Ovis aries: one gene and its partners. The protein of the gene in region 1 purifies or fractionates together with the protein of each later gene. This does not show direct contact. Links are inferred from orthologs where the notes say so. Each region holds a gene or a part of one and is shown in the gene's direction. Other genes may lie near its edges.

Region 1 (4,403 bases):
AGCCGCGCCTGCAGCATCCTTGGCGCTCTTCCCCGCTCCCCTCACCCCCCAACCCTTCCCTTCCGACCTTCTGCCTTCTTCTCTCGAATCCTCTCGTGCGGGGGACGAGGAGTGGCAATTCGACGGCAGGTTTGTGGGTTTGCGTCCCACGCTCCCCGCCTCCCAGCGCAGGCTTGTGCTGACAGCCGCCTCCTCTGGGAACCATCCCTCTTCTGGTGCCGCCTCCACCCTTCCTGTGCGCTCTTTATCCTCTCTCTTCCCACTTAAATAACATTTGGGAATTGTTTTTTAAATTTTTTAAGTGGGGGTGGGGGAGAAATTGGAGTTCGTGGAGCCGAGGAAATCTGGTAAGTGCTTGTGGAACTAACTGGGCAGCTTTGGAAGTCGTGGAGAACACCTGGTGGGAGAAGAGTCGTTGCGGGCGCCCCGGGGCGCGCGGGGGTGGGGTGGGCGTGCTGCCGCGAGGACCAGCTGTAGTCGAGCCTCTCTCAGAGGTGAGTGCTTATCCCTAGGGTGAGCGTGAGGAAAGGCAACTGACCTGTTTGCCTCCTGCTTCGACTGCTTCCCTCTTCTCGTCCTCAGAGGCCGAGAGGTCTGGATTCTCAGGGATAAGCTTCTCCTTTGGGAAACGCGAGGATGCTCCAGGGAGTATGAGTATTCAACTTTTGTTTGTCGCTTTCCTTAACCGCCCCCCGCCTCTAGTCCGCCCTCTCTGTTCTCTCTGTGAAGTAAACAAGCTATGTTTGGCAAATCGTTAAGTGGGAGCGCTGAGAGGGCGAGTCAACAGGTGATAAGGGGTTAACAGGTGCGGCGCAGGGTAGGGGGCGGGTTCCAGGCGCTGAGAACGCCCCCACGGGTGGCTGGCGCGCCTCCTGAGGCTTCCGTGGTTGTGAACTCGCGCCCTCCTGCACGCTCTGGGTTGATAGCCCAGGGTCGGGTGCATGGTTGGGTGAATTAGAGCGAGGGCGGTGGGCTCGCAGTTGGCCTGAGGTTCAGCCACACCCAGAGTGAGTGGTTCCTTCCCTCCCCTATTCGTGATTGATCTGTTAGCTGCCTTTTGGAATGTAAGCGTGTCCCTGACCCCCTGCCTTCAGGTCCCTTTCCTTTTCCTGTGATGTCTTCTAAACGCACTTCTAACTTATACTGTCACCATTTGGACCCTGGGAAGTTAAAAGAGGAGTCTATCTTTCCGTGCAATTCCACTTCGGAAACGCGTAAGAACAGCTCATATGATTCATCCTAATCCATGTTTAGGCGGCTAGACTTTATCCAGCCAAGATGGATGGGAGATGCTAAATTTTTAATGCAAAAGCTAAGAAAAGCCTCCTTTGTCCAGTGGTTGAAATGGAGGTACACTTAAGAGAATCTCACTCTTTTGAGGATTCTACTGATCTTTCAATAGTTTTTACTTTGGGTGGTTCTAATTTTGTTTTTTACGCAGAAGTTCTTAAAGTGTATTTTGTCTTCTCCAGTGTGGTGTAAAGGAATTCGTTAGCCATGGATGTTTTCATGAAAGGACTTTCAAAGGCCAAGGAAGGAGTCGTGGCTGCTGCTGAAAAAACCAAGCAGGGTGTGGCAGAAGCAGCAGGAAAGACAAAAGAGGGTGTTCTCTATGTAGGTAGGTAAGCCCTAAATGTCACTTTGATATTTATTTGGGATTGATGGGTTAGGATGATTGATGCTTTAAATGCTGGTATTTCTCACCACTCCTCAAAGTGATGGGCTGAATCAGAGGTGTGTGTAAGTAGGTGAATGTGTGTGTTTGAGCTAATATACAAAGTGGGGCTATTTTGTTTTTCCAGACTATTTAATTTTGCAGTAATATTTAGGACTTTCTTTTTTTAAATGAATGTTTCTATGCATAAGTAACTATAGCTCTGAGGACACTTTTAAAAACTCAGTCTCAGAAAATATTCAATAGTATCTTAAAATCAAACTCCTCCATGAGCTTTTGATTTATCTTCATGAATAATATATGCTAACTTCAGTGTATTCTAATTTAAAAGTAAGACGTTGATATAATCTTGAGATATGTAAAGAGAGACCTACTGTGACTCTAAAAAGAAAAGGACAGACAAGTCTTTGGAGTTACTTCTTGTGACCACTTGGTAAGTTGGGGACTAAGCTCAAGAAAGTGCTTGAAGGCTGCTAATATCTCTGAGACATTTATATAGTTCATTTATCAAATGATACAATAAATTAGATGCTTACTGTTTTTCCTTGTTTATAAATTCCCACATCAGAGTATTCTTGCAGTGAAGTGAAAGTTGCTCCATCCTGTCTAATACTTTGTGATCCCATGGACTGTCCATGGAGATTCTCCAGGTTAGAATACTGGAGTGGATAACATTTTCCTTCTCCAGGGGATCTTCCCAACCTAGGGATTGAACCCAGATCTCCCCAGGGATTGAACCCAGGTCTCCCACATTTCAACTGGATTCTTTACCCGCTGAGCCACAAGGGAAGCCCAAAAATGCTTGAGTGGGTAGCCTATCCCTTTTCCAGAGGCTCTTCCTGACCCAGGAATCAAACCAGGGTCTCCTGCGTTGCAGGCAGATTCTTTACCAACTGAGCTATCAGGGAAGCCCTACTCTTTTTTTTTAATCTTGAACTGTGTTAGGTTGGGTGTTGTTTTACAAGTCACCTGGAATTCTTTGGGTGAAGAAATAGGCATACACATAGACACACACTCATCTATAGGGATACAAACGGGCACATGAGCATACACTCACACACTGCCCATTCTCTTTTCTCCTCTGAGCTTTTCCTCCTTTTCCTCACATTCTCTGGTAGCAGGTGTAGCACCAGTAGCCAAAGGATGAGTAATAAAGTGGAGGATGAGCATAATGGATTGTGTAGAATACTCTGTCTATGTCTGTGGGGTGAAGGAAAGCTATATCGTCTCTTCAATAGAGATGGACTGGAGAAAAGTTATACTTGGAATGATTTTTATGAATATTTCTCATATTTTTTCTCACTGTTCATAGACTTTTTATTTTGGTTCAATCTTACCACAAACCTCTAGTTAAATTACTCTTTATCTTAAAATGTATTTTCAGAAAATCATTGAATTGAAAGATCTTACAAGAGGGAAAAGTCAATGAGTTAAACTCAGTTTTTTTCTTGTGAAATGTGGATTGTATCTTTTTAGGTGGAATTTGGAATACTGAATCAGTGACATTTAGATAATCAGTATTTTTATATTTGTCCTCAGTGTTCCAAGTTGTACAAGTGCATGCTTTGTAACCATTCCTTGATTTCAGTTACTTTATAGCTTAGTTACTTTTAAGATATTTTTAGTTGGATAATATTGATTTATTAGTTTTGAATGAGTCCAAGAACCACTGACTATTAAATTAACATGGTGCTGTTTTCCAGGTAATAAGCAGGATTATCATCTGGAAAACATTGTACTTGTTTTCATTTTCACCCATGAGTTTGGGCAAATAAAATAACAATTTTTTAGAGATTAATTCTGTTGTTTTCTCTGAGATTATTATATGAAATTTCAATTTGTTTATGTATACATATTTTAAAAAATAATCTTCAGTGTTCATTATGGTATTTAACAGAGTGCATTCTATATACTATTTATCAGTTGATATTTTAAAGTCAATTAAAAGTTGAACACAAATACATAATTCAGGATGAAGTATGACCTTGTGAAGTTATAGTACTACCAGGTTTTGGCAAGCTTTTTCCCTAAAGGGGTAGTGAATAATTTTAGGGTATGATGTCTGTTTCAGCTGATCAGCTTTGCTCTCCTGAAGTGAAAGCAGCCATAAACAATAATTAGGGTGACTATGTTCCTATAAAACTTTACTTACCAAAACAGCTGGAGAGTTTATTTGGCTCATAAGCTATAGTTTACTGACTCCTGATAAAGTAGGAAAAAAATGTAGATTTGATGTCAAACTTGAATTCCAGTCCAGACTACAGCACTTTTTAACCTCTAGGATAATGGAAAGGTACTTAACATATCTAAGCATCACTTTACTCATTTGTAAAAATACAGTTTGAATACATGCAAGTACCCTGTAGAGTTCTTGTGAGAACATCATAATAAAGCCGAACCTATAAGTAAAAAGGCATACTTTTAAAAAATTAAAGACTTAATTTTTATGTTTTAAATTAACAGAAAAATTGATATATAGAGGTTTCCCATGTACCCCAAACCCCACACATGCATAACCTCTCAAATTACCAACATCCTTTACCAGATGGTACATTCATTACAACTGCTGAACCTACATTGACACATCATGATCATCCGAACTCCATAGCTTCCATTAAGGATCACTCTTGCTGCAATACATTCTGTGAGTTTGGATGAATGTGGAATGGCAATCCACTCCAGTATTCTTGCCTGGAGAATCCCGTGGACAGGGAAGCCTGGTAGGCTA
Region 2 (3,646 bases), on another chromosome or scaffold:
AGGCTGGTGTCCTGGGGGCCAGGCTGCGTTGGACCCCAAGGGTCCACGGCTCACGAGGACAGACATCCCCACTGAGGAGAGGGGACCCAGGGCTGGGCAGGTGGAGAGCAGAGAGCAGTGAGGAGCAGAGCTGCCCCGGGCCCAGCTGGCCCGCTCTGCTCTCGGTTGCTGCGCGTGCCTGGGGGCGGCGGTCCCCAGAGGGATGTGTCAGGGTGCGGTGACAGCGGGAGCCAGGCACAGATGCAGGAGGCCCAGCCTGCAGGGAGCTTCGAAGAAGGCTGACAGCGGTCGTGCCCGGGACGCGCGTGGACGGCGGCGCACCTGCTGGGGTGGCACCGGGCTGGCGCGTCCTCGGTCCAGGCTGAGCGCGCTGTCGCGTCCCCAGGTGCCTTCCTGGTGCCCTACCTCTTCTTCATGGTCGTCGCCGGCGTGCCGCTGTTCTTCATGGAGCTGGCCCTCGGGCAGTTCAACAGAGAGGGGGCGGCGGGCGTCTGGAAGATCTGCCCCATCCTGAGAGGTAACGGCGGAGTGCGGGCCAGGGTGCGCGGTGGCCTGGCGTGGGCCGGGGGCGGGGGGCGGGGGCGTGGGCCAGGGACTGGGGGCGGGGCCGGGGCGGGATATGGGGCAGGGGCGTGGCCAGGGCGCGGCTGGGCGGGGCCGGGGCGGGGCCGGGCGTGGGCCAGGGACGGGGGGCGGGGCCGGATATGGGGCAGGGGCGTGGCCGGGGCGCGGCTGGGCGTGGGCCAGGGACGGGGGGGGCGGGGCGGGGCGGGATATGGGGCAGGGGCGTGGCCAGGGCGCGGCTGGGCGTGGCCAGGGCGCAGCTGGGCGTGGGCCAGGGAGGGGGCGGGGCCGGGGCGGGATATGGGGCAGGGGCGTGGCTGGGGGCACGGCGGGGCATGGCGGGGCACGGCGGGGACGCCCCACGTGCCTGGCAGAGTGTGGGCCAGGGTGCGCGGTGGGCTGGCGTGGGCCGGGGGCGGGGGGCAGGGGCGTGGGCCAGGGACGGGGGGGCGGGGCGCGGCCGGGGCCCGGCTTGGGTGATCGCATAGCCGGTCAGCCACAGCTGTGTGTATTCTGTGCTGCTTTGCTGGGTGTCTAGGCACTTGGACACATCCTTTTAATGACCGAGGGTTTGCGAGCGTGTGTCCTTGCTCCCAGGCGAAGCCAGCCTGCAGTTCCTGGGCGGTGGTGTTTTGTCAAAGTGCTAACACGGTAGAAACGGTAACACAGCCTCCTGTCTGCAGTTCTGTGATCGACTGTCTGTCATCTGCGCTGGTTTGCTGGGGCTGCCATACAGAGCGCCGCAAGCCAAGTGGCTTAAATGACAGACGTTTGTTGTGTCGAAGCTCCAAGGTCTGAACTCAAGGGTGCTGGTTGGTTCCTTCTGCGGCTGGGGAGAGGGGGCCGGGCCTGCTCCCAGCCTCGCTCCTGGGGTCTCGGGGGCCGTCTTCTCCCTGCGTCTTCACGGGTGTCTCTTCGCCCAGGCTTCCCTGTTTATGGGGACATCATTCGCAGTGAACTAGGGCCCACCCTGACTTGATTTTCCTCTGTGAAGACCCTGCCTTCAGTAAGATCACATTCTGAAGTACTGGGGGTTACAAAACTCTTCCACGTTGGAGGCCACAGTCCAACCTGCAGCGCCCTCTGCCTCCCACCTGTGCGCCCGGCCATCGCTCTCCGTGGGTCTGCCTTGTCCATCTGTCACGTATCAGCTGTCTATCATCCGCCCGCTTATCTGACTTAGCGCGTCTACCGATCCATCTTCTGTTTCCATGTCTGCCGCCCTTCTGCCTCCGGGCAGCTGTGCTGCTGCTGAGGGGCAAAGCGCACGTCCCCGGGGAGCCGCGTCAGCCCCAGGTGCCCTCATCACTCTGCTGTGACCGTGAGCAACCTGGCCGTCCCGGGGGTTGGCTGTGCACGCAGCCCTGGGGCAGAAGGACCAGAGGCTCAGGCCACTCTCCCTGGGACACGGGGCTGGATCTGCTCTGGCGTTTGGCCAAAGGCAGCTCCGAGTCCCCCAGGCCACAAGCGGAGGGTTTGGTGAACAGAGTCGTCACCTTCTGGAGATTTTCAGCAGCCACCGACAGCTAGCTCATGGCCAGGAAGCTTCTGAGAGGTGCTCGGAAGCCGCGTGGCTTCCTGATTCTGAGGCTGCCAGGCGAGTCCACTGTGAGCCAGCTTCTCCCGGGGAGCACAGGGGACAGAAGTGCAGTGAGAAATTATTCCCCAAGGACGGGGTCCACCCCAGAGGAGGGCTTTGGTAGGGACAGCATAGATCTTGTCATCGCTGCTACTGAGCATGTCTCCCGAGAGGGACCGTGCACCAGGGCCTGTCTGTGCTGTGTACGAGTCACTCCAGTCGTGTCTGACTCTTTGTGACCCCATGGACTGTATATAGCCCGCCAGGCTCCCCTGTCCGTGGGACTTGCCACTCAAGAACACTGGAGTGGGTCTCCGTTTCCTTCTCCAGGGATCTTCCTGACCCAGGGTCTGAACCCAGATCTCCTGTCGCTCCTGCATTGCAGGCAGATTCTTTACCACTGAGGCACCGGGGGAATCACTCCTGGTACTGGATCTGTTTAATGTCTGCCCATAAGCAAACTGGAGTCACTCTTTCTGCTTTCAGGGTAGGAAGAGAGTTTTAATGAAGTGTCCTGAGCAGGAAAATAGCTTCTCCTAAGGGTCAGAAAAGCTATGACAAACCAAGACAGCGTATTGAAAAGCAAAGACATCACTTTGCCGAAAAAGTCCCTATAGTCAAACCTATGGCTTTTCTATTCGTGTACGGATGTGAGAATTGGACCATAAAGAAGGCTGAGCACCAAAGAATTGATGCTTGAGAGCCCCTTGGACAGGAAGGAGATCAAACCAGTCCATCCTAAAGGAAATCCGTCCTGAACGTTCATTGGAAGGACTGATGCTAAAGCTGAAGCTCCGGTACTTTGGCCACCTGATGCGAAGAATGTACTCATTGGAAAAGACCCTGATGCTGGGAAAGATTGAAGGCAGGAGGAGAAGGGTGCAGCAGAGATGGTTGGATGGCATCACCGACTCAGCGGACATGAACCTGAGCAAACTCTGGGAGATGGTGAAGGACAGAGGAGCCTGGCGTGCTCAACCATGGGGTCTCAGAGAGTCAGACATGACTTAATAATTGAACAACAACAAACAAGGAGGGTTAGACCCACAGAAAACAAGCCAACGCGCTCCCTGCAAAAGTCACTGTGAAGATAAGCTCCTCCTGGCCACAGGCAGGCAGGACCGGGCCGTGCCTACGAGGTTCCAGGATACTGATGCCCAAGCCAGTCCCAGCAGCAAAGCCGGGAAAGAATGTGGAAATGAGAGAAGTCTGTGTGGAGCTGGGTAAGCTGAACCACAGTAGCGGGACGCAGCAGTGCTTGTCCAGCACCGAACAGGACAGAGGTCTTACCGCAGACCAGCCGTCCACCACGGTCAGGATGACATGGCTCCAAAGACTGCTCGCCCCTCCGTTCTGCTCCAGCGGTCAGGAGCCCCTCAGCGACTCTCCCAAATTCCAGGTCTTGTGACCCTGCCCAGGGCACTCTGACAGGCCCAGGGGGCTCTGCGTGGTCAAGCACGACCCCGGGAGATTCTGGGTGGTCATGCATGGACCTGGGTGATG
Region 3 (3,646 bases), on another chromosome or scaffold:
TGGAAGGGGGCTGGCCTGGATGTTTCAGAGATGGGGAGCCATGCCCAGCTGGGCCTTCCACCCTCGGCTGTGACTCTGAGATGTCCCAGATGCAGCTGGGGTGGGCCTGGCCCATCTTGACAAAAGGGGAAGCATCCCTGACTATCCCCCATCTCCTGCCACAGCTCGAGGAGTTCCTAAACCAGAGCTCCCCCTTCTACTTCTGGATCAACGGTGACCGCATCGATTCCCTGATGGAGAATGATCGGGAGCAGAGCCATGTGATGGATGTCATGGAGGACAGCTTCACCCGGGCGTCCAGCATCATGGACGAGCTCTTCCAGGACCGGTTCTTCCCCCGGAGGCCCCAGGACACTCAATACTACTCCCCCTTCAGCTCGTTCCCAAGGGGGTCACTCTTCTTCAATCCCAAGTCCCGCTTTGCCCGGAACGTGATGCCTTTCCCCTTGTTGGAACCCCTCAACTTCCACGATGTGTTTCAGCCCTTCTACGACATGATCCGCCAGGCCCAGCAGGCCATGGACGCCCACCTGCAGAGGACTCCCTACCACTTCCCCGTGACGGAATTTACAGGTGAGAAGGAGGGGGATGAAAACTCAGTTCTTTGAGATGCTTAACCTAGTCACACAGGCTGTGATGCTGACGAGACGTACGAATAGCTAAGGAGCTAAGGAAGTGTGGAGGGAGGGAGCCTTAGATGCTCAGATCTGTGCCCAGGACTTGGCCTGTATCGTCTGAATCCCCCAAAGAGCAACCTGGGGAGGGGGCTACCATCCCTGTTTGACAGGGAGTGTAGGAACATGCCCAAAGGTTCACAGACATCCCTGTTGGCTCAGCTGTAAAAAATCGGCCTGCAATGCAGGAGATGTAGGTTTGATCCCTGGTTTGGGAAATCCCCCGGGATGGTCAAATCTAGCCCTACAGGACTTGTAACTCTGGTATTCTTTTGAATTTTCCAGGCTCCTTCCAACAACTGGTGGGCATGACACTATTTCCTCTAGGGTAGGGATCCCCAGCCTCTGGGATTTAATGCCTGCTGATCTGAGGTGGAGCTGGTGTAATAGTAATAGGCATAAAATGCACGATAAATGTAATGCTCCTGAATCATCCTGAAACCATCCCCCACCCACCCCCTCCCTGGTCCATGGGAAAATTGTCTTCCACAAAACTGACCCCTTGAACCAAAAAGGTTGTGGACCACTGCCCTTGAGGGCTAGACCCCTTTGTCTTGGGAACTCAGGTGCTTTATATGGATGCCATGCATATATTGGCAATGAATTATATAATCAGCTCACTGTACAGTTAAGAAAGCTGTTTGTGGCTATAACCTTAGGGTCTGGTAGAGAATGGGCACATAGCGAGTATCTTTTGAATGAATGAACTCTAACATGGACACGAAAAGCCGAAACTTTTAGATGTGATTTCTTTCATTGAACCAATAGACTCTGGTTGGCCAACCCCATCGCCTAAATGCTACGGCTGGGCCAGCACTGGGTTCTGGCTTGTAATGGATTGGAAGTGCGGGAGGGTGCTGACTTAAACAGGTTTCCCTGGTGGCTCAGTGTTGAAGAACTCACCTGCCAATGCAGGAGACGTGGGCTCAACCCCTGAGTTGGGAAGATTCCTTGGAAAAAGAAGTGTCAACCTGCTCCAGTATTCTTGCTTGGAGAAGCCCATGGACTGAGGACCCTGGCAGGCTACAGCCCATGGGGTCGCAAAAGAATCTGACACAGCTTAGCAGCTAAACAACAAATTGACCTGAACAAGCATTTCCTGCATATCCATAAGGTTGAGAGGGGTGGGGTGGTGGTGAAGTGAAGTGAAGTCGCTCAGTCGTGTCCGACTCTTTGTGACCCTATGGACTGTAGCCCACCAGGCTTCTCCATCCATGGGATTCTCCAGGCAAGAATACTGGAGTGGGTTGCCATTTCCTTCTCCAGGGGATCTTCCCAACCCAGGCCCTGTGTTATAAGGAGGTTCCAAGGTAAATCTTACTCCTGCCTTCAAGGAGCTTGCTGCCTGGCCAGGGGGAGAGAAACAAGACAAGACAGAATGCAGAGCAAAACGGGTTATGATACCAAAGAGAAGTACACACAGCTAAGGGAGTGTGGAGGTGGGAGAGGTGTCAGCCGGTGAAGGAGATGAGAGGGTGGCCATGCCCAGCTCAGGGGGGCCCGGGAGCCACCTCCTGGTCCCACTGCAGGGAGTCTCGCTGCTGGTCCGAGCCTGGAAGACCAGCGGTCTTCAGGCAGACAGCCAGATGCTAACCTGCTCTGCCCGCAGAATCATCTCAAAGGGCCTGACAGTGGTGTGGAAGGGCCCAGAGAGATGGGGGCAGCCCATGTTGCTCTGTGTGACTTGTCCCCGTGTGTTCCCAGAAAACAACGACCGCACTGTGTGTAAGGAGATCCGCCACAACTCCACGGGATGCCTGCGGATGAAGGACCAGTGTGAGAAGTGCCAGGAGATCCTGGAAGTGGGTGAGTCAGGGGCCCCCTGGTCTCCTGTGTCTTCAGGTCCCCAGCACCTCACTGGGGTTGCCTTGAGGGGCTCAGGTGGGTGGGAGTTTAATGCCAGCTCTGCTGCCTTCCAGCTGTGGCTTTTAGGTGAGGGGGACTGTCCTTTGCTCGGCTCTGCCTGGATCCCCATCTGGGGTTGAGGGTTAAGATGCAGAGTTGTCCCTGAGGTCAGGAGACAGAATACTTATCACATCAGCTCATGGTTAACAGGCTGACTGTGGGAGCGGTGGCTGTGCTTTCTACAAAGCTGTCATCCTGTGACTTCCTCCAGTTAGTCTATTCCCAGGGGTCAAACCTAGTATACGTCTTCTTTTTTGGCTGCAGACGAAAATTTAGAAAGTATGTTGTTGTTGTTCTGTTGTTTTGTCGCTAAGTTGTTTCTGACTCTTTGCAACCCATGGACTGTAGCCCACCAGGCTCCTCTGACCATGGGATTTCCAAGGCAAGAATACTGGAGTGGGTTGCCATTTCCTACTTCAAGGGATCTTCCCAACCCAGGGATTGAACTCAAGTCTCCTGTATGGACAGGCAGATTCTTTACCACTGAGACATCGAGGAAGTGCTTCAACAGCACGGAGACTATTAAACTCTTGCCGTGTGTTTGTTACTAAATACCCTTCTTCTCAACACTTACAAACATTTACTCTTCTCCCTAGAATAACGGGTGGCTGCTTTTCTTACAGAGGAGGAGACTGAGTTAGAGGTTTGATGACCTGCCAAGATTACTGGATGCCCCTCCTGAGGGGATGTTTGGGAGGTGTTCCCCACCAGGGCTGCTGTGTTCTCTGCCCTGAACATATGGTCTCTCCTTGGGGTACCTTCGCTTTCTGGCCACCTTCCCTGTGGTTGGTTGGTCCCTGAGTTAGAGGAAATAGCTCTTTTCCGCTGTTGCTTTCTGTTTTACCAAGGGGACTGAATTCTTTCTATTTGGAGGTCAACAGCTATAAAAGCAGTTGACACACAAAACTTCCTGGCTCACAAAAGTCTATGCCTGGAAGGAAGGAGTTAATTATTTCCCTGTACTGAGTGAATCGATCCCGGTTGGTGTGTCGGGGTTGTGGGGGGGAGGTGGTAATGATGTTTGCTTTGCATTTAATTCTTTTCGGTGCCTGGGCAGCCCTTCAGAG

Evidence for each region.
Region 2: the proteins of SNCA (region 1) and SLC6A3 purify together in Homo sapiens (affinity purification with western blotting; 6 studies listed by BioGRID and IntAct, with this or other methods). This does not show direct contact. The link is inferred for Ovis aries from reciprocal best matches to the Homo sapiens genes SNCA and SLC6A3.
Region 3: the proteins of SNCA (region 1) and clusterin purify together in Homo sapiens (affinity purification with western blotting; 3 studies listed by BioGRID and IntAct, with this or other methods). This does not show direct contact. The link is inferred for Ovis aries from reciprocal best matches to the Homo sapiens genes SNCA and CLU.

Annotation. Positions count from the first base shown.
Region 1 is NC_056059.1:35,535,291-35,539,693, forward strand, and holds the start of SNCA (alpha-synuclein), read left to right. Parts: upstream 1-1,497; coding exon 1,498-1,618; intron 1,619-4,403. UniProt on the Homo sapiens protein: Neuronal protein that plays several roles in synaptic activity such as regulation of synaptic vesicle trafficking and subsequent neurotransmitter release.
Region 2 is NC_056069.1:71,107,584-71,111,229, forward strand, and holds part of SLC6A3 (sodium-dependent dopamine transporter), read left to right. Parts: intron 1-385; coding exon 386-517; intron 518-3,646. UniProt on the Homo sapiens protein: Mediates sodium- and chloride-dependent transport of dopamine. Also mediates sodium- and chloride-dependent transport of norepinephrine (also known as noradrenaline). Regulator of light-dependent retinal hyaloid vessel regression, downstream of OPN5 signaling.
Region 3 is NC_056055.1:102,020,600-102,024,245, reverse strand, and holds part of clusterin, read left to right. Parts: intron 1-164; coding exon 165-573; intron 574-2,378; coding exon 2,379-2,480; intron 2,481-3,646.